Linked DNA regions of Rhinolophus ferrumequinum. Each later gene encodes a partner of the first gene's protein in a complex. Links are inferred from orthologs where the notes say so. Each region holds a gene or a part of one and is shown on either strand. Other genes may lie near its edges.

What was found.
Region 2: the proteins of SUMO1 (region 1) and DAXX are in contact, whole or in part, in an NMR structure (PDB 2KQS), measured with the Homo sapiens proteins. The link is inferred for Rhinolophus ferrumequinum from reciprocal best matches to the Homo sapiens genes SUMO1 and DAXX. Residues at the interface, in NP_001005781.1 of Homo sapiens: Lys17, Glu18, Tyr21, Ser32, Ile34, Phe36, Lys37, Val38, Lys39, Thr41, Thr42, His43, Lys46, Leu47, Ser50, Tyr51, Arg54, Gln55; in NP_001135441.1 of Homo sapiens: Glu731, Glu732, Ile733, Ile734, Val735, Leu736, Asp738, Ser739, Asp740.
Region 3: the proteins of SUMO1 (region 1) and SENP2 are in contact, whole or in part, in a crystal structure (PDB 1TGZ), measured with the Homo sapiens proteins. The link is inferred for Rhinolophus ferrumequinum from reciprocal best matches to the Homo sapiens genes SUMO1 and SENP2. Residues at the interface, in NP_001005781.1 of Homo sapiens: Asn60, Arg63, Leu65, Glu67, Gly68, Gln69, Arg70, Ala72, His75, Glu89, Tyr91, Gln92, Glu93, Gln94, Thr95, Gly96, Gly97; in NP_067640.2 of Homo sapiens: Asp386, Lys394, Leu395, Arg396, Trp410, Leu411, Asn412, Asp413, Glu414, Thr440, Phe441, Pro444, Lys445, Arg456, Trp457, His474, Val477, His478, Trp479, Met497, Gln542, Gly545, Ser546, Asp547, Cys548, Gly549.
Region 4: the proteins of SUMO1 (region 1) and PML are in contact, whole or in part, in a crystal structure (PDB 8DJI), measured with the Homo sapiens proteins. The link is inferred for Rhinolophus ferrumequinum from reciprocal best matches to the Homo sapiens genes SUMO1 and PML. Residues at the interface, in NP_001005781.1 of Homo sapiens: Gly19, Glu20, Tyr21, Ile22, Lys23, Ser32, Glu33, Ile34, His35, Phe36, Lys37, Val38, Lys39, Thr42, Lys46, Leu47, Ser50, Arg54, Glu84; in NP_150241.2 of Homo sapiens: Glu554, Arg555, Val556, Val557, Val558, Ile559, Ser560, Ser570, Ser571, Ser572, Arg573.

What each region holds. Positions count from the first base shown.
Region 1 is NC_046291.1:29,338,305-29,346,306, forward strand, and holds the start of SUMO1 (small ubiquitin-related modifier 1), read left to right. Parts: upstream 1-4,990; 5' UTR 4,991-5,135; coding exon 5,136-5,147; intron 5,148-8,002. UniProt on the Homo sapiens protein: Ubiquitin-like protein that can be covalently attached to proteins as a monomer or a lysine-linked polymer.
Region 2 is NC_046286.1:3,663,008-3,669,994, forward strand, and holds the start of DAXX (death domain-associated protein 6), read right to left. Parts: upstream 3,019-6,987; 5' UTR 2,890-3,018; coding exon 2,842-2,889; exon of another isoform or gene 2,833-2,841; intron 2,216-2,832; coding exon 2,211-2,215; intron 1,995-2,210; exon of another isoform or gene 1,943-1,994; coding exon of another isoform or gene 1,926-1,942; coding exon 1,739-1,925; intron 1,585-1,738; coding exon 753-1,584; intron 642-752; coding exon 427-641; intron 272-426; coding exon 43-271; intron 1-42. Other genes in the region: SMIM40 (small integral membrane protein 40), read right to left, coding at 5,980-6,222. UniProt on the Homo sapiens protein: Transcription corepressor known to repress transcriptional potential of several sumoylated transcription factors. Down-regulates basal and activated transcription.
Region 3 is NC_046285.1:59,833,724-59,841,133, reverse strand, and holds the start of SENP2 (sentrin-specific protease 2), read left to right. Parts: upstream 1-4,407; 5' UTR 4,408-4,620; coding exon 4,621-4,721; intron 4,722-6,353; coding exon 6,354-6,409; intron 6,410-7,410. UniProt on the Homo sapiens protein: Protease that catalyzes two essential functions in the SUMO pathway.
Region 4 is NC_046289.1:98,761,249-98,768,484, forward strand, and holds the start of PML (protein PML), read left to right. Parts: upstream 1-4,230; 5' UTR 4,231-4,376; coding exon 4,377-4,511; intron 4,512-6,193; coding exon 6,194-6,660; intron 6,661-7,236. Other genes in the region: STOML1 (stomatin-like protein 1), read right to left, coding at 60-166, 1,917-2,049.

The DNA.
Region 1 (8,002 bases):
AAGCCACACCCTAGTTCTTCTTATTACCAAGAATTTCTCCACTTCTGAAACCTTGAATTCAAGCCACCCTTTTATTGCCATAACACACCTGAGGAATGTCAGACGCTTTGGTAATAACTGTGGTTTAATATGGCTGTGATCCTGAAGGTGAGAGGTGAGGAAGAAAGGAATAAACTACTGAAGGCATTCATCTGACTCTTAGAAGTTTGCTTAATTTGAAATCCCCACAGGTGATTTTGATGGATATACTACAAGTAGCATTGCTCTTGCTCTCTCTACCTGTGTCAAATCAATGAAGGAAGGGGAGTCAAGATCTCCTGGATTCAAATCCTGATTCCATCACTCATTTGAGTAAGTTCAATCTCTCTTGTCTCTGTTTTCTCATCTATAAGATGAAGATAGTTATTAGTACTCACTATATAGGATTAAGTGAAATAAGAAAGGTATAGCACTTGGAAGAGGGTCTGCCACTCAATAAATCTTAACAATTATCATCATCAACAACAATTATAGGCTAAAGACTTCCAAATCTCGTATCTTCAGCCCAGATTTCTCTTAGTGCTCCAAATTATATCAACTGCTTCTTGGACATCTTTCCTTGGATGATTCTGGGCATTGCACATTCATGTCTAAAACTAATCTTTTTGTTTTCTTTGCAAATCTATGGTCCTCATCTCCAAATTTTTCTATTAAATCTTAAAATAATATCACCATGTCAAGTGACTCAAATCAGATTCTAATCAACCACCAAAACCTGCTAATTGTATCATCTCTATTTCCATCTCTACTTCCATTGATCTAATTCCCTATTACTGTCTTTTTTTTCTGGACTACTACTACAGCTTCCTAACTTATTTCCCTCTCTTTTGTACACCACAAGCTGATATTATCACTTCCCCTGCTTAAAAACACTTAGTGCCTCCTACACCCCTCTACTTCCAACATTATGCCTTTCATGATTAAGTCCAAATTTCTTAATATAGTTTACTAGATTTTCAGTGAATGGGTTGTTACTTTCCTTCCCGGTATTTTTTTTTTCTACCTCCTACCTCACAAACCATGCTCCTACTGTACAGAACTTGTCGTGCTTGCTTCGTTCTCTCTTACCACTTCTCTAGGCCAGGAAATCTCTTTCCTCCCTTCCTCTAGCTCAAAATATGGTCTGTGGACTACTGGAGGACCTGAGACCTTTTCAGGGGCTCTTCAAAATCAAAACTATTTTCATAATAATATTAAGACATTTACTTTTTTCACTGTGTGAACATTACCATCGATAGTGTAAATCAGTGGTTTGTAAAACTGCTGGCATCTTAGCAGGAGTCAAGACAGTGATACTGTGCTAGTATCCATTTTGTTCCTCACTGTGATGCGCTTGGAGAAAAAAACTAGTGTCACCTATGAATGTCCTGGATAAAACAGTGAAAAATTAATTATGGTAGGCTGAATAATGGCCTCCCAAAGATGTCTACTTCCTAATCGCCAAAACTTGTGAATATGTTACCTTACGTGGCAAAAGGAACTTTGCATACTTGTATGTGATTAAGGATCTTGAGATGGTGTGGTTATCCCGGATTATTTGGGAAGTTCAATGTAATTACAAGACTTCTTATAAGAGGGAGACAGGGTCAGAATCAGAGAAGATGTGACAACAGAAGCTGAGGAGGGGGAGAAGGGAGAGGTAGAGAAGAAAGGGAGGAGAGAAGAGAAGGGAAAGATGAGGGAGAGGAAGGGGAGGAAAAGTACACAAGTGAGAATTATAAGCTGATTTAGCCACTTAAAAAATCTAACATCATTTTTATGTGACAGAATAAATGACAGGTTAATAGTTGTTATTCAGATTTGGAAATACTGCAGACGATTTCTTAAAAATGAATAAATGAGCTTAACACTTAAAGAAAATAACTGACAGTATTTGTTGTCAATGACAAAATTTGAGCTTTTATGCAAAAATTAGTATTTTGGAGAATTTGTATTCATCACTGTGAGTTTGGCAGTTTCCCAAGATTTAAAGACTTTTTCTGATGAGTCTGTGAAAATAATGAATATGATTTTTAGATATTGTATAATGAAATGTGTCGACATTTAGGAGATCTGTATAACTCAGCGAAGCAATGTTTTCTAAATGACAAATCCATTATGTTACAAAATTACATATGAGTATAATATCTACCCAAAGTGTAAGGTAGACCACTGATTTTTTTAATGTAAAAGAACTCAGAAAGGTCATTGACATGGTTTCAAGTTCCACATTTCAATTAAGAAACTACCACTTGTCGAGTTTAGGTGTGGTATCAAAGAAAATATTCAACTATCTGAACAAGCTATTATACCCATCCTTCCCCCTCCTCCAATTACATATCTGTATGAGACTGAATTTCCTTTACATAAACAAATTGCAACAAATATGGCAACAATTGAATGAAGAAGTAGCTATAAACTATCTTGCTGTCTTCTATCAAGCCAGGGCTTAAAATAATTAAAGACATTTGTAAAAATGAAAAACACTGCCACTCTCTCACTAGTTTTTTTTTTTAAATTTAGAAAACATGGTCATTTTTCATACAAATATGTTATTTGTGCCCATCAAGGGCTTATTGTTTTTCAACAAATTAATACATATTTAAAATTTTTTTCTCGGTTTTAATTTCTAATATGTTAAATATTGGTGGAAATGACATGAACAAAAGTTCTTCGAGGTCTTCCGTAATTTTTAAAAGTTTAAAGCAGTTCTGGGACCAAACTGTTTAGGAATTGCTGCTGTAGCTGATGTAAACTTACCCTTTGGATTTCAATTTAGGTTTTATTTTATTTCTTTGGAAGATTTTCACAGTCATCCTGGTTGGATGTAAATGTCCTACCTGTTCCCTTAATAATACTTTACTTATTATTAGCTGCTGTCTTAGGGCCATTGTATCTTATTTTTGTTTTTTTATATAACAATTTTCTTGAGATATAATTAACATATCATAGAGTTTCCTATTTAAAATGTACAATTTTCAGTTTTTTACCAGTTTCCCAGAGCTGTGCAACCATCATCACAATGTATTTGAGCATTTACAGCATTTTCATCACTTCCAAAAGAAAACCTGTATCACTTCCCATTTCCCCCTAATTTTCCAGCCCTAGTTGAAGTCTGGAGCAGTAGTCTACTAATCTATTTTCTGTCTCTATAGCTTTGCCTATTCTGGACATGTCATATTAATGGAATCATACTTTATGACTGGCTACTTTCACTTAGCATAATATCTTCTAGTTTCATCCATATTGTATGAGTACTTCATTCCTTTTTATGGCCTAATGGTATTCCATTGTATGGGTACATTACTTTTGTTTTCCATTAATCAGTTGATGGACATTTATTTGGGTTATTTCTACATTTTTTGCTATTATGAATAATGTTTCTGTGAATATTTGAGTACATGTTTTTGTGTGGACATGTGTCATCAATTCTGTTGGGTGTATATATATATATAGGAATAGAATTGCTGGATCATGGTAACTTTATATTTAACAGTTTGAGGAACTGCCAGAATGTTTTTCAAAGCATTTTATAGTCCCACTAAGTAGTGTATGAGGGTTATAATTTTTCTATATCTTTGTCAACACTTCTTATTATCATCTGTCCTTTAAATTATAGATATCCTAGTGTGTGTGAAGCGTTATTTCATTGTGGCTTTAATTTGCATTTCCTTGATTGCTGATGATATTGAGCATCTCCATTTGCCCATTTGTATCTCCTTTGAAGAAATGTCTATTTAGATTTTTTGGGTCTATTTTTAAGTTGGATTATTTGTCGTTTTATTATTGAATTGTAATAGTTCTTAGTTCTTTATATAGTTTGAGTATTAACCCTTATAGATATATTTGCAAATATCTTCTCCCTTTTTTTAGGTTGTCTCTTGAACACAAAAGACAAAAGTTTTTTACTTCAATGAAGTCCAATTTATTTTCGTTTGGTTGGTTGTGCTTTTGGTATCATATACAAGAAGCCACCCCCTAATCCAAGGTCAAGAAGATTTATGCCTGTTTTCTCCTAAGAGTTTTAGCTCTTACATTTAGGCCTTGATCCATTCTAAGTTAATTTTTCATATGTTCTAAGGTAGTGATCCAAATTCATTATTTTGCACGTGGATATTCAGTTGTCCCAACAACATATGTTGAAAGACTTCTTTCACCATTTAATTCTTGGTATTCTTGTCGAAAATTATTGATGTGTGAGGGCTTACTGATTTACTTCTGAAACTATTCTATTTCATTTGTCTACATCCTTATTCTCTATGCATTTGTCAGTAGGGCCATTGTATTTTAAAGAAGAAATCATAGGGGGATCATTCCTTAACTCAAAGCAACGAATTCAAGAGTCAGAATTAGCTACTGCTCCCCAACAGTTTAGAACTTTCAGCAGCCATCAAGTAGCCATCAGTAGCCATCAAGATCGTGTCCAATGGGATCCTTGTTTTGTTTTGTTTTGCCTCCGGCCCCCCAATCAAGGTCATGTGACCGCGTGGTGTGTGTGTGTGTGTGTGTGTGTGTGTGTGTGTGTGTGTGTGTGTGAGAGAGAGAGAGAGAGAGAGAGAGAGAGAGAGAGAGAGAGAGAGAGAGAGAGAGAGAGAGCGCTAAATCAAAAATGTTAGCTCGAGGGTAAGAAGCACTGGTATTCAATCCAATTTCTTTCGGGAGGTTGACGAGCAAGGCCAGGAGACAATAGAAGTTTCTTGGTTCAGCCTTCAGAAACGCGCAAGGTGTCGGAGAGGGAGGAGTCTGGGCTGTCAGTACTGTCCCAAACATTGATACTGGGGACGGGGAACTTTTCCTCTGGTCTCGGGATTGAGGTGCCTGGTCTTCGATGGAGCAGACGAGAAGGTTGTTAATTCGCTCGCGCGACCACCAGTCAAGCAGCTGATCTAGCACCGAGCCCCCCGTGTCGGTGTAGCCCCCACCCGTTTTCCCGCCTCGCCTCTTTTCCCTATCCCTGCTCCCAGCGCGTAGCGGAAGTGACGCAAGCAGTAGCGGAAGTCCCTCCAGCCGCGGTGTTGTGCTGTGGGGAAGAGAGACGGATTTGTAAACCCCGGAGCGAGGTTCTGCGTGCCCGAGGCCGCTGCTGTGCGGAGACCCCGGGGGAAGCCACCGTCACTATGTCTGACCAGGTACCGGGCCGGCGGCCGTCCGATGGCGGTGACTGGGGCCTTCCTCGGCAGGTCCGCCTGCCGCTGGGCTGGAGCCAGGGATGGAGGCGCGGGGGAGGGGAGCGCAGAATGGGGGAGGGGGCGGCCGGTGGGGACTCGGCGGGCGAGAGAGGGGAGTGGACTAGGGCCGGAGACGGCGGGGCCTGCCGCGGGCCTCCGGGAGCCGTCCTGCCCCTCTCCGGGCTCGCTCATCACCCTCTGCCACAGCGTCTCTGGTCGCGGCCTCCCGCAGGTCGTCCCCCTTGCAGAGCCCAGCTTCCACCTCCCGGGGAGGGTGGGTCCCCGGGGAACCTGTCTGCCTCCCTCCCAGAGGACTGGTTGCCGAAGCAGGGCTCTAGGCCCCAGTTATGTAACGGGAGAGAGTCTGCCCGGGAGGCTTCGTGGCCCTGAAAAGCGCCTGGACTCCACTTTTTGGTTCTCGGGTTTTGGGTAGCCCTGGAGTAGGGACGTTGGGGCGGGGAGGGGAGGGAGACATTGTCTGGTGTTGCTGGGAACCTAGAAAGCACTGCTTTCCGTTCGGATTGCGGCGGGGGCCGGGCCGCCGCGGCTCTTTTCTGAGTCTTTTTCCGTGTGGGGGTGCAGAGCTGTCGCCTCTTTTCTTGTACTTTTCCATTTCTTACTCGGGATTGGTTCAGCAACTCTCCATTTGTAAGGGAGCACTCAGAATAACCAAGAAACAAAGTAGAACAAAACCGCTCGAGCAACAGAAAACATTTCCCCTGGGCATTAACCTGGAGATGACTGATACTTTTGAGGAAAAGGATAGGAATACTGTATATACTCGTGTATATACTCGTAGAGCCGTTGCAGGACATTTGCAGAAAGCTGCCTGTTACGGCAAAGTGCTCCGTCTTAATGTTAATATCAATGATTTACTTGGGATTTGTACTTAAATCAGGAGCGTTCGATTTTCCGTGGTAAGTTTTTCATATTTTCCTAGTTAACCACGTTTTACGGCTAGTTTTTAATTAATAAGGTTTTTGTCTGGTCTTTTGTTTGCTCAGACGACTTTGACTTTTCAAAGTATTTTTAGACCTTTGCTTGTTTAGTGATAGTTATCTAGAAAACTTTCAGTCAACTCCCTAATGTACTTGAACTTAAAAATTTAACACACTTATATTCTCTTGGCATTTAACCCGGGTCAGTTTTCTTTCTACAGCTTGGTGAGAGCGAGTTCGGCTTTTGTGGATTTGTACTAGTGTGCAAAATGTACATAAAAAATTTTAAAGTTTAACCATAATCTAGATTAGTTTTGGGGATCTTATTACTAACGGTCTAGGTTAATTCCCAAGTTGGTATGGGAATGGCCGTTATAAGTATCTACCTAGATAGTTGTTTACTTGGTTACCAGGGAGTAAATGAACAGGTGTAAATGCTTAGTTTTCATCAGCCTTTTATTTTGATGCTCAGAAGTGACTAGGAAGCATGTTGAAATTTACTATAGTGTGATGAAAGAGTAATGTACAGAAAGAATTATAAAGTAAATTGTAGAGTTTATTGCTCCAGTTTGAATTCTGGTCATTTAGAAAGACATGAAGGAAGAAATAAAGGACCTAAGACACTAACAGGTGGTTTTAGGCCAGAGGTTCTTTAGATTCTTTTTTAGGGGGCCTCAAAATTATTTTCATGATAATACTAGGACATTGTTGGTCTTTTTCATTCTGGTTCTTTCATGAGTGTTCAGTGGAGTTTTCTAAAGACTAACGTGACCTGTGATATCACAACAGATTGAAATGTAGAAGGAGATGTGAAAAGCCAACTGCTTTCTATTAAGCCAGACATTAAAGAGATTTGCAAAAATGAGGAACAGTGCCACTCTTCTCATTAGTTTTGTTCTGAAAACTTTTTAATAAAACTGTTATTTGCTGATATATGAAGGGTTTGTTATTTTTAAATGAATTAATCTTTAAAACATTTCTCAGTTTCAATGTCTAATACTATAAACCTCAATAGATATAACCAACCTGACAAAAATTTTATGGGGAGGGGGGTCTAAATAATTTCTAAGAGCATAAAGAAGTCCTGAGACCAAAAAGTTTGAGAATTGTTCTAGTCTGATAGACCAGCATCATTAACAATTGGGACCCAGTACAATTTCATGTTGGGTGCTAAGAATTTAAAGAGGTATAAAGTTGAACTCTTACCTTTAAGAGGCTTATGAACGGGAGTAAGAATCCCAAGTTACCACTGTGCAATATCAGCAGCATGAGTCTGAACCAGTGCCCCCAAAAGACAATCTTTATTTAAACAAAGTTTTGTTAGAATGTCTTTTCTGAGGCACCTTTCAGGAGGTTATTGTCTGGTGCTAAGATACTGAAATTGAGTAATAATTTCAGGTTAAAATAGGGGGGCATTAAATTCATAGAAGACTTAAATTGCTGGGTTCTCCATTGATTAAAGAATATTATATTTGGAATTTGAGTGAAACACTTTTTTGCAATTCTAACAATCCAGCATTGTCCAGTGGATTTGTGGACCATTAAAAAATAATCATCTCAAACATTTTAAACCCAAGTTTCGTGGACCTAAAGGGCTGAAAATTCACTGAAATTGTTATGGAGTGTTTTGTGAGTATTTGTGCATATGTTTTTTCCTTTCTTTTTTTACGGGAGAAAGGGCCCATAACTTTCATCAGGGATACATGATCCCTCAAAAAGTTAAGGAGACCCCAGGATATTCAGACTTATGGCAGCTCAGGGCCCACAGAGAGAGTGACGTGAGTTGTTCCCAGAGAACCCCAGGTGGAAACCTCAAGCCTTCTAGGACCTAGCCTTGAAAGTCACTTCTGCCTTCTTAGGCAAATCACTAAGGCCAGC
Region 2 (6,987 bases), on another chromosome or scaffold:
ACAGAGTAGATGGAACTAGCAGTGAGATTTTCCTTGTCATACCTGCTTCCTCCTCTTCCTCCTCCTCCTCTTCATCCCCCTGACCTTCCTGCGTCTGTTCCAAGTCCTCCTCCTCTTCAGAATCTGTGACCTCTTCCTCCTCCTCCTCCTCCTCCTCCTCCTCCTCCTCCTCTTCCTCCTCCTCCTCTTCTTCATCACTTTCCTCATCTTCGTCCTCGGTCTCAACCTTGAAGGTGGTAGGGCACTCCTGGGATGCCATTCCACTAGGGCCCTGGGGGACAAAGGACTTTCTCTAATGAATCCCTTGCCCCAGAGGGTCTGGTTCTGTGTTCCTTCCGCACACTCCCCCATGGGTCACCGTGGAGTCCCTGCTGGCCAGTGCAGGGGAAGGACAAGGTGTCTCTGAAGGGTAGATCCCTTCCATACCTCACCAGAATCCAAGGAGCCTTTGGGGGGGTCCACAGAATGGGAAGAGGTGGCTTGGGGGAGCCGGGCTCTTCTCTTCTGTCTCTCGCCCTCCTCACTCTTGTCTTGCATCATCGCATATTTGGAGATGACTTCATCCAGCCGGCTCATAGCTAAGCTCCGGTTTTCCCGCAGGCGCCGGGCTAGGGCAGGATCTGACAGTGCGGGGTCAACGCCTATGTGGAAAGATATGAAGTCAAACCCTAGAAGAAGGGACTAGAGAGATGCCCCCTCTACCACACACCTGATATACACAAGGGTTATTGATGGGCATCACTAATCCCTACCTGGTGTATAGTCATCTGTGAGGTGACAGCCAAAGTTGTAGATGAGATCAAGGTGGCGTCGCTCCTGTAACCTGACGCCCACGTCTCGGAAAGCATCCTGAGCCATGAGCTGGAGCTGCTGTCGGGGGAGGCCAAGGCTGTGGCGGGCAGCTGCCTTCTCTACAGCCCGCAACACATCTCCATAGTCAGGGAAGGCATCAGGCCCCGGCTTGTTGATGAGCCGTTCGATGCGCCTGTTAACCTCTGGGTAGCGAGTCCCACGGTAGGGAATGCGCTGCTCTATGACCCGGCCTGTCAGTGAAGAGCAGTCTTTCAGTTCACACAGCCGCCCAAAGAGTCGGATTAGCTTCCGTTTCAACCTTGCCTCCTGCAAGTATGTGGAGTCTGGGTCATCCAATTCTTTGAGATCCAGCTCTTTTTCCTGCAGCCTCTGAATCTCTGCCACATAGATTGCTAGCAGTTGCTCCAAACGCTGGATCTGCCGCCGGGAACCACGGGTCCTTGGGGCCTCAGAGCCAGTGGCCTCGGCATTTGTGGCATCCGTGGAGGTGTCTGTGGGAGGGTTACTCCCAGAGGGCTCGCCAGAGGTGGTGGCAGCAGGGGCCAGGTTCAGCTTTTTCTTGGCTGAGTGAGCCTTGAGAACAGTGCAGAGCTCGTTAATGTGGACATAGAGCTTAGCTGGCCTGCTCTGGGCCCGAGACAGGACCCGAGAGAGGATGTTGTAAAACTCCGCTGAGGCCAAAAACAGAGAGTGGGCACGCTGCTGCCGTTTACAAAGGAACGGGACCACGTCAGGGTGGTCTGCTGTCTGCGCCTTACACAGTTCAAGGAACTGGAGGGTTCAGGGGAAGAAGGGAGGGGGAAAGAGACAAGGGAGGGGGTTGAGAGAAAGAAGGCATGGCGGGATTAGTGGGGGAAAAAAGGACAGGAGAGCCAGTGAGCCACCCCCTCCCTGGGGTACAAGAATCTTCTCCCCTAAAGCTCACCTCTTCAAACAGCTTCTCATTCTCCAACTTGTAGCATTTCTTGCCGCCCGAACTACTGCTTCCTCCAGCCCCATGGGGCTGGGAGGAGCCAGGGGCTTCTGCCTGGGGTGAGGCCGGATTGGGGGGTGGGTGAGAGGGCCCTGGCTGAGCAGCTTCATCTTCGTCATCATCATCCAGCACAATGATGCTGTTAGCGGTAGCCATGGGGGATCAAATCCCCCGGAGGGAGGAAGTGTTGGGGATTTCGTATTTCCTGCTGGAAGGGGACGGGGGCCTTAGAAAGAGCCCCTCCAGCATAGCCCCATCCCTTCAGCTCACACATTTTTCAGTGTTCTTGGGTTTCAGTAACACCCAGCCCTGCCCAACAGTGTCCTCACTGCCTGTCTTCAGCAACCATTAGCACCATGTTTTCTGGGGCCCCAAACCACCTGCGACCTCAAGTCCCCACCCCAGCTCCACTCCCCATATCCACGACATCTGGTCTTTCAGTTTCCATTCTCCACTATTTGTCTTAGTTGGCAAACTGCCTTTTCCTCCCAGCCTCCGGGCCACCACCTCCCACACTGCACTCCAGATTTCACCTCGCACAGGTGCTACACCCGTCAGCGCCACCATTGGCTCTCAAACACGTCAAACCCACACCCTCACCCCATCCTGAAGGATCTCCCCAACTTCTAGACTCTGAGGCGAAGAAGGTTCCCTCTCAACCATACATTCACCCCTTGTAATGTATCTCAGATTCCACCCGCCGAAGGGTCTCAAACCGGGGAGTCAGGTTGGAGGTATTTCACCTCAAGACCCTTCCCTCTCACCCCACCCTAATTTTCCTCATACTCTCGGTGACCTGTAACCGCTCGTGAGCCCCGCACTGGGCTCGCCCGATTCCTCTCGGATCCCAAGCCTAAGTCCGGCCTCTTCCCCTAGATGAGCTTCCCGCCAAGTCCCCCTCCCCCAGTTCAGGCCCCACCCGCCCCACTCCCCTTCAGGGATAGGAAAGAAAGCTTGCCCCTCAGACTCAGCGCCCGGGACTCCCCAACACCTCTCCCTCGACATCCCCACCCCCACCTTCGACCCCCGCACAGTCCGGGCCCCACCTCAGAAACAAACGGCCTCTCCAAACGACTCTCACCGCAGATATCAGAAGCTCGCATGGTTACCTCCGCCTTCCTTCCCCCTCCCACCGCAGGCCCGATGCTGGACCGGAAGCCGCAGAGTTTCCGCCTCCAGTAACCTAAGCGCCATATTCTCGTACGGAACCCAGTCCCCCCCCCACCTCCCCCTGTGGCCGGAAGTGACAATAGGTCCGATCCCCGAACGTTTCTGGAGCTTCCTACATTGTATGCGGCTCCCTTCCGCCCGACCTGTAGGAGGCGAGCTTATCCCCGCGGCGCTTCCCTAAGTACCTGGGGGCCGTCATTTTGCCGTACGGCGTTGACTCAGCCCCGACTCCAGAGCTCCGCCAGTGGATGTCTTTCCACCCAGCGCTTCTGCGACTCCGCGAATCAGAAACTTCCTGCCTCCCGCCCAACCGCCGGCTAGGCGCGTGCCGGGAGGACTGAGCCACCTTTCCAAGTAGGGAAGGGGGGAACGGAAAACGGCCGCTGAGGAATTGGGCCCTCCAAGGCTACGCACTGGTGCACGAAAGGGCGGAAACCTCTCACGAGGGAAATAAAACCTTTTCCTTTCGATGGGCTATTGACCAGCCTTCCCGCGTTGCTTTCCTACCTGCCAGGTACCCGTCTCCACGGCTTACTCCACGGCGCTTGCCCCTTCCCGTCTTTGGGCTGCGCACTCCCTTGCCGCTGTCCAGCAGCTTCTTACATCCTGGCGTCTCCAAGTGTTTTGAATCCAGGTGTTCGTGACATCAAAACACTTGCACACAAATAATTACAACGCCCCACACAATGTGTTATTGTTATTATTACGATTGTTGTTTTGCTTTTCAAGCTTCACCACAGACTAATTACCAACCAAGCAGGTGGCACCTACGTGATTCTCCGTACTTTTCTGAAGGGGGTCCCTGAGGCTCAGGTAGTCATGACCCAGAAGACGTGCTTTGTCCGGGAGCTTCGGGGCCTAAGGAGTGGCGATATGGGGAGGCGGAAGGGAGTTAAGAAGAATCTCTGCGAATTGCCACTGTAAGGGCTGTAAGATGAAATGAGGCTCGGAAAATACCGCGGGTCTCGTCTCCTCTTCTTTCTCTGGGAGAGCTGAGGAAAGAACGAACAGAGAAGACACAGACTTTGACGCCCGCCTCACCCGCATCCCACCTCGCCCACTTTTAGGGAGGCTGGAGGGACTCATGGAGGCAAGGCTGGGTCCAAAGGTGAGCTTCTGGGGGAAACCGGAGAGGCTAAGACTGTTCCAATGGCTGAGTTGCTCCCCTCTACATCCTTGAGCATTCCACAAGTGGTGAGCATCTTATCACTTTCTAGGATCTCCGCGGTCCCTACACGTCCAAGCCTCAGAGTCCCAGAACCTCAAACGCTCCCTTCCATTAATCTCACATCTCTTCTTTCCAGTCGTCTAAACCTACAGTCTTCAAACTGGGGAAAATGAAAACTCCCCAAAGAGCACTTGGACTTGGGAGATGTTAGAGATTTAATTTCCAGATCCTCAGCTTTCCCAAAATTTCTCCTGAATAAATACCTACAATAGAGGTTCTTTTTCTTTTTCTTTCTTTTCTTTTCTTTTTCATTTTAAGATTTTATTGGGGAACAGGACTTTATTGGGGAACAGTGTGTACTTTCAGGATTTTTTCCAAGTCAAGTTGTTGTCCTTTCAGTCTTAGTTGTGGAGGGCGCAGTTCAGCTCCAGGTCCAGTTGCTATTGTTAGTTGCAGGGGGCGCAGCCCATCATCCCTTGCAGGAGTCCAACTGGCAACTTTGTGGTTGAGAGTCCACTGGCCCATGTGGGAATTGAACTGGCAGCCTGGGCTTTAGGAACACAGAGCTCCAACCGCCTGACCCACCAGGCCGGCCCTAGAGGTTCTTTTTCTTCCTTTACCCTTTTACAGTAGACTTTCTCCCTCTTAAAAAAAAAAAAAAAGTATAGTTTTCAACCCTGAAATCTGGAGACAGTCTTACCTAGTGTCAAATAAAGAGCTATGTAGCCAACTTCTTTCATTAAGGCACCATAAACACCACCTCGTCTATCTCATTAAAAACATTTAAAAATTTTTTAACAATTATAAAAATGTGTACAATCTTCATGCCATTTGATCGGTTCTGCTCTCATAATAATTGTAATGATAACCCTGAAGAAATTTTTTTAAAAACTAGAGTTTTGGGCAGGCCCAGCCCGGTGGCTCGGGTGGTTGGAGCACTGGTCCTTCTAGTGCTCAGGTCAACAGTTCAGGTGGCCGGTGGATTCCCACATGGGCCAATGAGCTGCGCCCTCTACAGCTAAGATTGTGAAAAACAGCTCTCCCTGGAGCTGGGCAGCTGTGAGCACCCAGAGGTTGACGTAAGCTGCCATGAGCAGCGGTGGGCTACCGTGTGCTGCCAGGCGCTGGCCAGCAGTGTTGCCAGGAGTGGCTGGCAGCCAGCCGGCGAGGTCTGCCATGAGCTGCTGTGAGCAGCCAACTGAGGACTGGCGATCCACTGCCTCAGCCGGGGGAGCGCAAGGTTCATAATAGCAGCATGGGCCAGGGAGCTCTGTCCTACACAACTACACTGAGAAACAGCGGCTTGAACTGGAATGGGGCTGGGAAAGTGGAGGAAGAGGGGGAAAAACGAGTTTTGATCATAAGAAAGAAAAATATTTTTCATCTCAGACTTTTAAGTATAAAAGCATAAAATTGTCTCTGGGGAAGGGGAATGGTAATGGGAGTTCAAGGAGAAAAGAGAAAAGGAATGATTCCCAATTGTTAAGAGCTTATTTATGTATTTTTAAATGGATGATAGTAGGTATCAAATCACTCTGATATTTCAGTTCTTCTGGACATTCAAAAGAGTGATTAAATGTTTTATTTTAAAATGTAAATATTTTCAATATGCCAGGAATTACATCCTTGAAACAATTTTTAATTATGATGAAAATTTTTAGATGCTTACTGAGAAATATAAACCTGAGGAGTATAAACCTGTTCAAAATTATTTCCTAGAGTATAGGTGACGAAATTTTAAGACAGCTGCTCTAACCTCTCTAGGTGTCCCCTCCACAGCCCCCAACAGTCCCATTTCCCCCACCTCCCCTCTCACCTCTGTGGCAGAGTAAGAGGATGTTTATAGGAAAGGTGGTCACAATTCGAGTTCCTCCTCTTTCTGAGGTGACCTCAAGAGCCAGTGCCCAAACTTTGCCCATGGTAGTGGCCACAGCAGCTTATAAAGAGCCTCCAGCAGTAGTAGTGTCAGAAAGAAGGCCAGGAAGATAAAGAAGGCCTTGTCTAAGGCCCGACGTAGGGGACCCCTGGAAGGAGGAGGACCCTGGGCAAAAGCCAGGAACACATCGTCCTCATCCATGTCACCCTCCTCCTCTGCCATTGTAACCTACAGTCTGACAGCTGGCTGGATCAGGGAGGCTAGGCTGGAAGCCCTTGCTCAGCAATGCCAGGATTAAGGGGCGTGGTGGGGCAAGTCCTTCACCTGCCTGGTTTGACCCTAATTCCCCCACCCGAGAGAGAAAGGAGAGTAGAGCTTCTGAGCTTTTGGAACAATCATGTAATTATCCAATGCAATGTGAATGGACTGGACAAAATAATTCCTAAAGTCTGTCCAGCATTATAATTTTGTTTTGGAAACTGAAGGCCCAACATACAGACATGAAGCTGGAGCTGCCCAAGTCATTCTGGGTCTCTAGGCTCAAGGCTCAAGGGCTTGGGCCACCACAGATAGAGCATGAACAAGTGGACCTAGTATGCTACTGTGAGCTGCTGTCAGTCAAAGATCTAAAGGCCATTCCAGCTTTACAGTGGGTAATTGGGGTGGGGGCGGGACTCTCTTAACCAAGGCTGGTGGGGGACAAGCAGCTGCAAGAACCCAAGGAAGGGGAGGTTTATTAAAAAAAAGAGAGAGAGAGAGAGAGAGAGAAACACCATGATTGGTCAGTGGGGCAAGGGTTTATGATTGAGATTTAACTGTTGGGGCAATAATAATGAAGAGTGAGATTTTTCTGTGGGAGGTCCTGGTCTGAGAGTTGCTGAGAAATGTCCTCCAAGAGATTGTCTTAGAGCAAGGGGTGAAAGCTTTTTCTTGACCCTGTTCCCCAGGCACTGGCCTGAAGGTATGTGAGGGAAATCAAAGCCCTTA
Region 3 (7,410 bases), on another chromosome or scaffold:
GAGAGAAGCAAAGTGCTTTTACTTACTAAAAGTTCTAAAAATAAAATCAATAAAAATTTCAGGGCAATGTCCAATATTTAATGTCCATCGGTAAGGCGTATTTTAGATTTATTTGGATCTTAAGTTAGTGTTTCAAAATGTTGTTATTAGAATGGAATTTGTTTTTACTTTTACTTAGTTGGTTTCCTAAGCCTTGGTCAGGAGAATTCTGCACCTTCGTCAGACAACCCTTTCCTGGAGCATGCACACAGAGTTGTCTGTGCGAGGAGCAAATCTATGGACAAATCCACCCCTATAATTTGGAAGGTCTATTGTTGTGACTTCTGCCTTGGGCTCCCATTTGGAAACATCGTGAACCACTTGAGGGTGAAGGGGACCAAAAGTTTTCCCTTTTGGGATATTGAGTTTTAATCTGCTTATTAAGAAATGACTCAGAAAATAAAAAAAAAAGAAATGACTCAGAAAGAAACTTTGACCCTCCATCTTCTCCTGCCTAAGAGATTCAGAGGGAAAGACCCACTCCAGTAAGGAAGTCATAGGATGTTCCCCTTAGCAGCCTAATTTAAATTGAGTGTGGTGGATGGGAAGGTGTAAAACAGGGGCTGTTTACTAGATTATCCCATCTCATTGTTTCTGGATTGCCTAGCAAACATTTACCTGCCTTGTATGTTCCACTCTTCCTCAACTACCTGTGACTCATGCATTCGCACTTTTGAAATCTCAGACGCTACTCACTCTTTTTATCCTTTGTCCAAAATGACATATATACCTAATCTCACCTCACTGTCTTTGGAATTTGAATGTTTCTGTGAATTCCCCATGTACGTGTATTAAAAATTTAATTTTCTTCTGTTAATCTGTCTCTGGTTATTTGATTATTAGCCCAGCTAGAAAAATTTAGAAAGTGGGAGGGAAGTATTATTTTTTCAACCCCTACAAGGGGTTCCTGCTGTCTAAATCAGCAGGGTCTTTCTCATCTGGTGGCATCCTTCTCTTCTGGTTGCACCTCTGTGTTGGCTGGTCACCAAGATAACTGCCTCTCTCTTTTCATAGTACTCCCTAGGGCTATCCAAAGTAAATTTTAGGGTCGCCCCATATTTAAGTCAGACCACTCCCCAAACCTTCTAGAATTTGGTGGAAATCACCCCAGTCAATTTTAGTGATTCAGTAACAGAAACCAGAAATTTAATTTATAAATTTACTTTTCTTACTGAATAAGAACAACAATATAAATTTGCCTTCCTTAACAACAACAAAAGGCAACAAAACAACAACAACAACAAAAAGGATGAAAAAAGAGAGATCACTCTGAAAATAGCACAGAAGAGGGACTGGGTAGAAAAGGAGGTAACTATTGCAATGGTGTGGGAAATAACCAGGCCCTGAATGATAGCATTCCTTTGGCTTTGGAGAAGGGAAGGAAGGGAGCAGGTCTGTGGGAAATGTAGGATGCAGAACCGGCAAGTTAAATGATTTATTAGATATGAGAAGTAAGGAGGGGGAAGGAAACATGAAGAATTTAGCTATGCTGGGCCTTCACATATGTAAACACATTTCATCAGCCCATAAATCTGAGAGGCAGGTTTGATTAACTCTATTTTACAGATTAGGAAACTAGTTTAGGTAGGGTCTGGTGCTATTATTTCTCCTCACGAGGCAGGCCAAGCCACTTGTAGTCAATGTGAGCATATTTTATAATAAAATCTAGGACAAGAAAAACTGCACTTGCTTTTGGATAATAAGGCCAAGGTTATTATTAGATTGAATAAGATCAAAATTATGTTATTAGGAGGACACATTTTTCTTGAGTAGCAAAGAAGTTGGTCTCCAGAAGAAAACGAATCTTCAGGGTGGTGAATGATGTTAGATTTTAGGTATGTTAAGATGAAACCAAGAACATCTCACTTGTGGCCTCCTTCCCACTTCCATCAAATGGCTCGGAACTCTATTCAGGGGTCAGCCAAAACAAAGTTGAAAGGAAATCTTTTAACACTCTGAGGAAAATGGTAAAGTGAAAACTTGTAAGACTAAAGAATGGATTGGAGAACTGGGTCTTCATTGTTCTGTGGAGGGGAGGTACCAGTTAGAGGAAGAGGGGCTGGGCCTTGGAAAGGCTTGAAAGAGAGGATCTAACCTAGAAACAGACAGACGTCTTTTCAGAAAACTGGGGCAACCATTTAAGATACCTACTGAAAACTTAAGCGATGAGCTTGTGGCCCTGTGGTGGTACAAGGATGCAAGTTATCCAAACCAGGGGCAGAAATATCAATGTCCTTGTTACTTCATTTGGCTTTGGGATTCAACTCTGGCCCCCGGTGGGGTTTCTGGGTCCGGGAATGGCTGTGGCAGTGGTGGGGTTAAGGATAATCCCACTTTTTGACCAATGGATGGGCAGTGCCTGATGCCTCTACTGTGGATGACAGGGCAGCGAAGGCATCAATGGGCAGACAGGTCCCAGGCAGGAGCGACCGTAAGGCTGAGTCCCCTTCTTTTCTCCATTTCAGAGGTCAACTGGAGACAGTAGAACGACACAAAACGAGTGCAAGTATTCAGGGGGTGGGGGTGGCGGCTGACACACTCATGAGTTACTATTTGCTGATGAGGCCCAGGTATTTAGACTGAGGTCTGTAATTCCAAAGCCCTCCCACTTTTAATGGTGGGTGATTGACATGTCAGTATTGGGTATGTGCAGGTGCTATAGCTGAGGTAGGAAAAGAAAAAATGAAACATGTGGTGTCGTACTAGAGTACTTTGAGACTTGATGCTAATATTTCTTAAATCTCGGTGGTCAGAACCTGGGAGTTGATATTCTACAGCAGCTTATAGTTTTATGATTTATTTTTTGAATGGAGACTGCTTTTGTGTTTTGGGGACTCTTTTCCCAATACTTGAGTGATGTTCTTGGTTTGGCAAAAGCAAGGACCAGCTCTCATAATGGAGTGGACAGTTGGGACACAGCAGAATTGCTCTGCATAGTAATATCAATGTTAGTCTTAGATTAACAGAATCACCTGAAATGGGTTGGGTTAGAGGTGGAGGGGGATTCTTTTGTTGAGAAGAGTGTAGCGATGACCTGGGGTGGGGGAGCCAGGGAAGAGTCCTTTTGGGAAGCAATGGGCTATAGATGCTATACTTAAAATAGCCACTTCTAAATCTTATTTGAGGCTTTGCAATTCCCCTATTACAGTATTCCCAAACTTCCAGTAACATCCTGGTGTTGGCTGTGCTTTGGGGAATTAAGAGAGGGGCTATGTCCACATTTAGGATTTGTTTCCACCCTCTAGGAACTGCCTGCCCCCACACCCACGCCCGAAGCCAGAGTGGTGGTAGCCATAGGTGGGTAGCTGGTGGTTTTGGAGCTCTAGGGGATGGCTTGCAGCAGAATTCTGGAACATTGCTGTACTGGAGAGTGCCTATGTTGAAGTTTAAGCAAATCTGGAAGTCTGGCCTTAATTTAATCATAAGTAAGGATCAAGTGCAGTCAAGGACGGATTTGTGGGGCATGAAAATCTTTGAATATTCCCAGAATTGTTTGGGAGTGGGACGGGATTTTCTATCAGTAAGTAGGGTAGGACTTTTTCTGTTGTTGATAATTAACCAGAAATGTGACTTCTAGATACCAGAAATGTGATGAAGGTATCTGTGGCTTACTTGTACCTACTAGTCTCCCCCTGGGCTGGCAACACTCCCTGCCAGCCCACAGGGAGACTAGTAGGTAGTAGTGAGCCACAGGTACCTTTTCATTCTTAAGCTTCTGTAAAGCCATCCTGGAGTTCTGCCCTTCCCTTCCCTCAGCGTGTGGGTTTCTTTTCTCGGGCTCCTACTGCACTTTGTACACACCTTTATCACAGCAGCCAGTTATCTCGTAATTTGTCTCTGTCAGTAGATCTTAAGGGAGGGATTGGCGCTGGTTCTCAGATCCCGGTTCAAATTCCAGCTATGGCACTAGCTAGCTTAGTGACATTAATCAAATAACGTAATCGCTCTATGCCTCGATTTCCTTATTTATTAAAAATGGGACAAGACTCTCTCCATTGCTTGCGGTTGGGAGAAACGAAGGTGACAATGAATGTCAAGTGCAAGGCAGAAGCAAAATAAAGGGCTCCTCGTATAGTAAACATTTGTTAATTAACCTAACTTACTTTTATTTTGTGTACTTAAACATTTACTGTATTTCAGTCCCGGGGCGCTCCCTCCCAGGAGGAGAAGCTTCACGTGTAGCCTGTGGGCCTTGTCCCGCGGGCCGGCTCAGGATTGGGTCCGCCGAAAAGAAAACCCCGCCCACAGCCCTTTCGCTCTCGTCCAGGATTGGACCACTACCGTCCTGCCGGCATTCTGGTTGCTAGGTTCGGAAGTGGGGGGCGTGTTAAGTTGCGCGTGCGCAGGTTGAGGAGGAAGGTGCTTTCCGGTCGGGTAGGAGGAGGTGACGTCAAGAACGGTTGCTCGCGGGAGCCTCCGGTAGCCCTGGGGACGTTGTATCTGTGGGCCTTCGGATCGCGTCACAAGTCGGCGACTGAACCTTAGCTGTGGTGGCTGAGGCGGCGAAGGCGGCAGCGGCGGCGACAGCTCTGGGGTTTGTGTCTCGGGGTGTGTCGGCCGCCGCTGCTGCTTGGGCCTGGTATGTACAAATGGCTGGTTAGGATCCTCGGCACCATTTTCCGCTTCTGTGACCGGCCGGTGCCCCCTGCCCGGGCCCCCCTGAAGAGGCGGCGCTCGAACAGGTGAGAGGAGAGGGGGCTGAGTGCGGGCCTGTGTGCCCCCCTCCCCCACCCCGGGCTCGGCCGCGATGGCGCTGAGCCAGCCGGGCAGGCCCCGCTCGGCCGAAACGCGTCACTGGGCCGAGGCGGCAGGCGTGCGGGTCGCGGGTTGCCTGGTGACGTAGTCGCTTCCTCCACCCTGTGTGGATGCGGCTCTTCCTGATGGAAAGAGCTAGTTGCCTTCGGAGCGGCCGGTGATGGTTAGGATCTTGGATATTCTTGTCCGAGTCCACGCTGTTTCCTGTCATCGAATGGGTATCATTTGTTGCCGCTCTTAGATTGCAACCGAAAAATGTGTTTTGGCTCACTGTTTACAAAGCACCCTCCCAAGTGTCATCTGTGGGCAATGAGTGCAGTTGAGATTGATATCTTGCCCAAAGCCGTTTGACTGCAAGTACTGTTCCCTTAGCACCGAAACAGCAGCTGTCTTGTTCTGAAACAGCTGTCAAACTGTGTGTGTGTGTGTGTGTGTGTGTGTGTGTGTGTGTTGGGAGAGAGGGAGGGAGAGTGGTTCTGTGCTTTAGAATTAGGGTATGAGAAAAAAAATAGGCACCTAATTCTTTTAAAAACATCACTAGTCTGTACTCTAAAATTCGGTTAAAATTTGGGGCAAACTAAAAGCTCTTCTTACTTAGCATGTACCCATTGGCTTGTCCCATTTCATAGTGAATACCCCCTTGCCTAGAATTAATCTAGAGAATAAAATATCATACCAATTCTATACACCTCCCAACTTTTAGTGATCAAGTGTTAATTTCATTATTTTACTAAACCTCCCTATCAGGGAAAGGTGGGTGTTTGCAGTTTGAGAGAATAAGATAATTAATACACGGGTCTGAGAATGCAGGTCATTGATGAAATTGACTGTTGGCTAAATTCCATTATGTGTTCCCAAGAGGGTAAGGTTTCAACTTGTTCTTCCTTTCCACCTTTCTGTAGGGTTGATATAAGGATCATTTGAGAACATGTTGTAAAGTGCCTAGAATGATGCTTAATACTATATATGAGAAGGGTAGTTGTTTATTCTACCCTGAGGGCCTCCTGCAAAGGTTGGTGTATGATAGGCACTTGGTACATATTTACAGGCACTTGGTACATATTCACTGAATAAGGGAATGTTAATTTGTTCTGCCCTGTTCTCTTTTTGCTACAAATCCCTGCTAGTCAGGGAGACAGTAGTTTGGAGGTAAAAAAAATCCTGTTCTTTACCACACATCATTGATCTAAAAACAATGCTTCTCAGTGTGAGCCATTTTTCCAGTCAAAATGAAGCCAGGAGTTCTCGTTGGGATGTTCAAAATAATGAACTCAGTGGTATTCTCCTGGGATTTATTCTGTTCACTTTTTTTGGTAAATATCATCAGTTGTAATCATCTTTAGAAAGGTGATTAGTAGTGTACCATGACCCTTTAACATTGTAGAAGTATAGGTCCAATAACTTTCTGAATTTTTAAATTCTTTATTACCACTGTAACATAGTTTCCATGTGAAAAAAATGCAGTTAAATATAACAGCTTTTCTGGTTAACTGTTAAGGCTTCTTATACGCGTATATATGCATTTATATATATATATATTTTTTTTCTCTTTTTTTTAGCACTGTGTTTTCTACAGTGGACACTGATGAGATACCAGCCAAAAGACCAAGACTAGGTATTGAATATTAATTTTAAAAATTCATTTTTTTTAGTAGGAAAAGTATATGCCTGGAATAAAATTTAAAAGGTAAAAAGTATATGCAATGAAAAGTCTTTCCTGTCCATTTTCTGCTCAGTTATCTTTTCTGGAGGTAACCATTGTTACCAGGGAATTAAGTATCTTTTCAGATAGATAAGCCTATATGTAGAACATACATTTTAAAATTCTTAATCTTCCTATAAAGAAAAGGTGGTTTTTAAATTTGAGGAGAAGACATTGTAAAAACTACTTCAAACAGAGTCACCCAGTCAAACAGCTGAATGAACCAATCTAATATGTTGCCTCAGATTGTTTACTTCCCTATAATCTGAAGGGCTAGACATAGCTTGGTAGAAGAGAATCAAATTAGATTAACGGGAAAAGGAATACAATGGAATACTATAATAATATTCTTTCTCAGAAATGCATGTGAATTTAGATTTACCTCTAGATGTGGTCATTAAGAGTGAACAAATCTGTATTAAGATTTCATTTAAATCCAATGAGTACTTACTGAGTGTCCTTATTGCTAAGTAGTGTCTTAGGTTCTACAGGAAATAGAAAAATGAGTAAGACAAGATCTCTATATTATTAAAGACCTTATAATTATAGGGGTATATGATTATCTGGGGGGGATATAAGACAAGCACATAAATAATACCAATGTCAGTGAGGATATAAAAATGAAATAAGAAAAGTTGTAACAAAATACTGTCCAATTTTCAGCTGGTTAAGAGTTTCAGTGAATATTTGAAGGAGCTAGTATGTAAGACGGGTCTTGAAGGATGAATAGGATATCAACAGAGAACAATAGGAAGGAAAAACTTTCTAGGTAGAGGGAATAGTATTGGAAAATTATGCAATTCAGGAAATAATGAACAGAACTCAGGAAAAAAATTGGCAAAAGAGAGGTCAGATTATGGAGGATTTTGAATGTCAGGAATATCCAAATTCATTAGGACAGTATTTTCCGAAGT
Region 4 (7,236 bases), on another chromosome or scaffold:
TCAATGCCAAAGCTCTCAGTGAGACCCAGCCACTCTGAGGCCAACCCAATCATCCTCACCTTCAGGGCAAACCAGCCGGAAATGGGGAAGGTGATCAGCAGCAGCAAGAACCCCAGGAAACTGATGAAACCGTGGCAGATGCAGGAAGGCCAGGTCTGAGGAGCATCTAGGGAAAGAGAACAGGCAGGCAAGGGGTGCCAACTGCAGGCAGAGTGAACGTAGTCAAATGTACCTTTCGACCTCCTCCCACTTCAGCAGCTCCTTCTTTCTCAGGGCTCTCGATCTGCCTCCTTGCCTAATATTCCCATATCTTTGTGCAAGTCCCACCCTCACAAGGCTATTCTCTTCTGGGCAACAGCCACTGGATCTGAGAAGCCAAACCACGTAATGCTCTCCTCACTGGGCAGACAGAACGTAAGTCAGTCTTGTTGTCTGATTTATACTGCCTTCCCATACATGGCACAAAGCCAGGCGCATCTGGGCATCTGTAAACACCAGCTGAGTTGAACTGACTGCTGTTGCATAACTCATCCCTCTTCTACCATCAGTCCCAGAAGTGTGCTTTCAAGGAGTCCTTTTGCAGATAATGCCTTAGCCCAAAGGGATAAAGCATTAATGACTCACCAATAGGAGCCATAGGTGAGGGCTAAGATGTTCTTTCTTAGCTCACATTCTTCAGTCCATTTTAATGCCCTAAGGACCATCAAATGAATGCTTCACTTAAAGAGCTTCAGGTGGGAGATGGGGGAGGGGCAAACTAGAAAGAGGAGGCTCATTTGAGCCCAGGGTGTTGGCCCCTGAAGAGGAGCCCAGGATGAGTGAAGCTGAGGCAGCCTCAGAATCTGGGATGAGGTTATCTGCTCTGCTTTCCTCCCTGCCCTGGACGGGAAGCAGACTGGAGCCTCTGCTCCATCTTCCCAGGAACCGCACACCCTCAGGGCTCTCCGAACCCCAGGATACTGTCTCCTTTCCTGCCTGGCCCTGATCCACGTGTCCCCTGCAGGAAAGGAACCCTTGGATGGGGCAGCTGTCATTACAGGAGGGCCCGGGAGGGACCAAATCCTCCACGGCTTGGTGTGAGGCTGAGGAATGTGGGATCTGGAATGTGGAACTCAGGCTTTGAAGCAAGACAGGGCCAGAGCAGACCCACAGACCACTAGGGGCCTTTTTGGCTAGTGCATCTCCACCAGGAAACAGGGAGATGTTCAAGCTCAGGGTGTCTAGTCTAGAGGTGTCCTGGGGGTGAAGATTCTGCCATTTCTCTGCAGCCAAGTGCCCTTCGTGTGCGGATGACCTTCTATGGCTAGACCTTGGTTTCTTTCTAGTCAAAACGGCAACTTGAAACCTATGCCCAGGTTTCCTCCTCTTCAGAAAGGGAGGGTTGTCTGCATTCCTGGGGTCCCTCAGGAGTCCTCGCCTCCTCCTGCATGTTTCCGCTGAGCCTTAGAAAAGGTGCATGAGGGGAAATTGGCGTTGCAGGGGTTTTTTCAGGAGCTGAATCCTCTCCAGAATCAAGGAAATGACATCAGCACTCCCTCTCCAAACTCACGAACTGGGGTAGGTGTGTACGCGGGTGCTGGTAGGGCAGGCGTGCTTATCTAGAATTACGGTTTCTCCAGGGCGCGGTCAGCAAATTATTCTCCTTTGTGTGCCCACAGCCCAGCAAGCAGAGCTGATAAGAGCGGAGGAGGAACGAGGTGGCACGAGCCTTCCTAGACGATAAGAGCTCCGCAGCTGCAGCCCCACAGCCCCAGACAGGGCCGCGCAACGCCAGCATCCAGCGCCCAGTGCCGGCCCGTCTCGCTCCCTCCTCTTAGAGTGCGAGCGCTAGAGCAGCCGACTCCTGACAGGCAGCGAGTTCGCGCTGGGGATGCCGGCGGTCCCCCCGGGGTCCGCAGTGCTGGGCGGCCACTCACCAGCTTCCGTCTGCACGCCGCCGGGCTCCGGGAACAAGCAGCCCTTCTGCGAGCCCAGGAAGCCTAAGCTCGACTGCTGGAAGCGGTCGAAGTCCCCCAACGGCAGCGGCCGGTACCCAGACCTGGCGAGCATGACTCCTGACGGGACACACCCCCACTCAAAGAGCGCGGCCCGACCTGCCAGCCCCTGCGCCGCCCCCCTGCGGCCCCCGCTTCCGGGTTTCCGTGCCCCGCCGGCGCGCAGCAAGAGGAGGCTGGCCCGCTAGGCTCCGGTCGTCGCACAGCGCCACCTGCTCTAGGAGGACCGAACTGCGGCGGCGGGGCGGGACGGTGAGCTGCGTTCCTGGGAGCCCGCAGGAGTCCTCGCCTTCTCCTGCATGTTCCGCCTGGGCCTTAGAAAAGGAGCATGAGAGGAACTTGGCTTTGTAAGGGGTTTTTCAGGAGCCGAATCCTCTCCAGGATCAAGGAAATGGTACCAGTCTTCTCAGCACTCCCTCTCCAAACTCACATACTGGGTTGGGTGTGTGTATGTGTGTGTTGGGAGGGGAGGGGTACTTATCCAGAATTACAGTATCTCCAGGGCATGGTCAGCAAATTATTGCACTTTGTGTGCCCACTGCCCAGCAAACAGGTACTGGCACAGAGTGGATCTCAGTACTTGTTGACCAGGTTACTGTGGTCAAGGTGGGGCGGGAGGGCCTGAACTTGGGCACAAAAAGAGAGACATTTCATGTGCAGACCTCAGGGAGCACGGTGGAGTAAGGAGTGGAGGGTTAGCACAGAGCTACCACGTGGCAGGCCCTCCAGAGCATCTCAGACGTGGGATCCTCAGTCCTGCAGGTCTCGAAATAGCACATCCCTTGTTCCAGGTACCCAGAGGTAATGTGACTCTCCACGCCTGAGCAAACCCAAATGCAAATTGCGGATTTAATCTGAGAAGCATTAACTTCCAATAGGGCATTGAGGCAGGCTGTCTTTCAAAAGAGTGAAGAAATTAATAAAGCTTTCCTTGTCTCGGGCACATGCCAGTCTGCCTACTCATGCCTCTCAGTCCCCCAGCCATAGCCCAGTTCCAGGTCCCTTCTGCAGATGGCTGCTCACCATCTTTGGCTTTTCCTAGTTTGATGGCCTGATTCGAAAGCCCTAGGAGTACTGATCAGGTTGGAGGTTAGGGCCGGCTCCTGGGGCCTCACACAGTCCCGGGGAACTTGGGTTTCCCCCCATTTCTCCTCCACACACCTTCATAAACTTTTACAAGAGCAGTGCCCTATCACCATCCCTTCAAGCCTGTTCCAAGCTGTAACTGAGCACAGAATGGGTACCCAAGAGCCAGCACAGCGGTTGGGATGATTTGAAGTTTGAAGTCAGGGGCACTGGCCCAGTGAGGCCGCCTGGAGCTGTGCAGTCTCCCCTCACCAGGTGGGGGTCTGGCATGCATCTCTGCTGGCCAATAGCTAACTTGCTCTCTCCTCACTCTTCATACCCATTCACCAGCTCTCCCCCTCCCCCTATTCCCCACTGCCTCAGATACACCAGCCTTTCCAACTGTCACGCAAGGCATCACCCTGTCCTCCTCATCTCCACTCGTGTCCTTCCAGTGTCTCTGACTCAGATCCCTCCTTGCATCGCACAGCCACTGTCCTAGACCAGGCCACCTGCCCCTAGGTTGTCTGAGTGACCTTTACAACATGCACAACAAACACATCACGCTGTACCTGGATTCCAACCTGACTCTATCGCCTATAAAACTGGTCCATCTACTTAGCTTTGATTTTGCGCCAGCCCACTCCTGGGCCGATATAGCTCTTGGGTCCCCTCTTAAATCAGAAAAAAACCCAAACTACTTTCTAAACAGGCTCTCCTGTTGCAAACCTCCATGCCTTTGCATATGCTGTTCGCTCTGTTTAAAGTGTCTCCCCAATCTCTGAATCCCTGGTGAATTCCCACCGTTTCAAGTCCCAGCTGAGGAATCTCCTTTCCAGCCAGTCTCAATACAGTGTGAAAAATCTCCGTTTGAGGGCCTGCCCTTTCACTAGATCTGGGGTTCCTCCAAAGCAGGAGTCACGTGTGGCTCATCTCTGTGTCCCCCGACTTCCAGCGGAGGGCTGGCACAAAGCTGTACCACTGTGAACTGATGGAAGGTTCAAAGCGGAGGGCAAGGGATGCCTCCCCCAGGTTGGCTGGGCCATCGTCCGGATCATACCCCCAGGTCAGTTGTGCGTCTCCTCTCCGCCTTCCTCCTCACCGCCCTGGGCGTGTCTTCGAAACCCCCAGTCGGCTTCTCCGCCCCTTGAACCGCCCCCAGCTCGTGTGTCACTTCCTCCCGGGAGGCTGGCGGTGAGTCGGCACCACCACTTTCGGACAGCTCCGGAGACTCAGCCATTTGGCGCACGAGTCTCGTTCAGCCTCTTTTCCCGCCCCTTGAGATCAAATCCGAGAATCGAAACTGCGCTGAGATCTATGCCCCAGGAGCTGGCACCCGCCCGATCATCCGGGCCCCAGCAGGACCCCGCACTGCCCCACACGTCCACCATGCCTCCCCCGGAGCCCCTGTCCGCAGGCCAGCAGCGCAGCCCCGGCCACAGCCCCACAGAGGTACTGCTGGGTTTGGGGAGATGGGGTTTCGGCTCTGTTGATTTGCAATGGTGGGAGAGATGAGAAGGCAGAGGGAACTTGGCCACGTACACAGAGGGAAAACCAGATGCCAGGGTCCTGACCCACTTGGCTCGATTAGGGGTAGGGGAGAGTAGAAAAGGGAACGAGGGGATGAGTTAAGGGAGCCACTCTGGGCTGCGATTCTCCACCGAGCAGTGCCACCTGGGACCGGACACTTCCGCCTGCGCGCCGCCGACTTGCCTCTTTGCCCTTGCTGTGACCAAGGCCGGCAGGTTAGGAGAATGGAGGTAGTAGCCCTAAAGTCCCCGCCTGGAGCCAGGGTCATGTTCCACGTGTGGGGGTTAAAAAACAACAACAACAAAAAAAACACCCAATCCCAGCTCAGAATGGGAAACCGTGGCCCGGACAAGAGAGCTGTATCAGCTAAGGCCTCCCAGCTCCTGTGGTTTCTCCCCTAGGAAGCCTTCCAGATCCTTCTCTGGGAACACTCTACTCGCCTAACCCCTATCACCAAGAGGGGTTTATTAGGCTTTCCTCCTGTAAGCTTTTGCCTTAATCTTCTTCCGGACAAACCCCAGCCTTACATACCCGAAGGAACTACTTAGACACAAGCTCGATGTTCTTCCAGACCCGTTTGAAAGCACAGATTGCAGTAATTCGTATTATTTGCATAATTACAACTAGGGATAGTATTGCTTAACATTACTAGTTAACATTTATGAGCACTTTTCAGGTGCCAGGTACTGTAGTAAGCACTTTTTTGCATTTTTTAAATTGTGGTAAAATAAACACAACATAAGATCTGCCATTTTAACCATTTCTAAGTGTATGATTCAGTGGTATTAAGTACATTAACCATGTGTAACCGTCTCCACTGTATATTTCTGGGGTTTTTTTCAAATAGAAACTCCGTACCCCTTAACACCTTCCTCTCCCGTTTCTCCAGCCCCTGGTAATCTCTAATCTACTTTCGGTCTCTGAATTTGCCTACTCTAGATAATTTCTTATAAGTGGATTCATATAATATTTGTCCTTTTGTTATTTAGCATAATGACCTGAAGGTTCATCCATGTCGTAGCAATGTCAGAATGTCCTTCCATTTTAAGTCTGAATAATATTCCATTGCATGTATATGCCACATTTGCTTATCCATTCATCTGTTGATGGACGTTTGGGTTGTTTCCACCTTCTGGCTGTTGTGAATAATGCTGCTATTTATGTGGGTGTACAAGGATCTGTTTGGGTCAGTGTTTTCAGTTCTTTTGGGTGTATATCTAGGAGTGGAATTGTTGGCTCATATGGTTGATCTCTGTTTAACTTTGAAGAACCACCTAACTGTTAAGCACTTTATGTGAGGTTGATACTTAATGTATCTTCTTTCTAAACTGAATTCCATGAAGACAAATATATCTTTGTATCTCAGGGCCTAGTACTTTGTCTGATGGAAAGTAGATACTTAATAGATTGCGGAATGAGAGTGAGAAGGCCTAAGTAAATGGGAAACTGGGGTGCTGATAAACCTGGGTTTTGCATCATCCTATGACTGCCTGGACTGGAATGTGAAATCCCATTCCAGCCTCCAGCCTTTGGGGCAGGTATTGGGTGGTTGAGGATTCCTGGGACCTCAGGCCTCATCCTCCTCCCCTCTGGTCCCCCCTCAGCAAGCCACGGAGGAGGACTTCCAGTTCCTGCGCTGCCAGGGCTGCCAGGCAGAAGCCAAGTGCCCTAAGCTGCTGCCTTGTCTGCACACGCTGTGCTCAGGATGCCTGGAAGTGCCCAGCATGCAGTGCCCTATCTGTAAGGCGCCCCAACTCGCAGGCACTCTCGGGCCGGCCCTGGATAACGTCTTCTTCGAGAGTCTGCAGCGGCGCCTGTCGGTATACCGGCAGATCGCTAATGCACAGGCCGTTTGCACCCGCTGCAGAGAGTCAGCCGACTTCTGGTGCTTCGAGTGCGAGCAGCTCCTCTGCGCCAAGTGCTTCGAGGCGCACCAGTGGTTCCTCAAGCACGAGGCCCGGCCCCTGGCAGAGCTCCGCAGCCAGTCGGTGTGCGAGTTCCTAGACAGCACGCGCAAGTCCAACAACATCTTCTGCTCCAACCCCACCCACCGCACCCCTGAGCTGACGAGGTGAGTCAGTGGGCGGGCTGCGGTGGGGGGGCCGCATCCAAGAGCCGGGGAGAGGGTGCGGGGAGCAGAGATCCAGGGTCATAAAGCTGAGAACGTGGGATAAGGAGCTTGCAGGGTCTCGCAACAAGCAACATCTCTGACGATGTGCACAATTTATGCTCTCCGACCTGAGTGGATAGTAAGAGTTTATGATTTTCCACTCTAATAAATAATGCTGCCGAACCATCTTTGCACCTTATTCGGTAATTCCTTTAGGATCAATTTTTAGAAATGCCATTGCTAGGTTAAGGGGTATGAAAATTTTACATTGTTACATGTTACCAAACTGCCCTTCCGAAAATCTTAATAGTGGAATTCTCCGTAAGTGCTGCTGTGGGATCTCCCTCCGTATAGCTCCGTTTGATTCTAGTGGGATAAAATGCAAGTAGTTAGTTTCTGCTGAAAAGTCACAGTTGTAATACCGTGCTATCTGGGAATGTAGGTATGGCGGTTATTATTTTTATTAAACAGCACAAGATTTTAATTCCTTTTTTGATAAAGACTACAATTAAGTGTTTAAAAAAAATTAGGAACAAA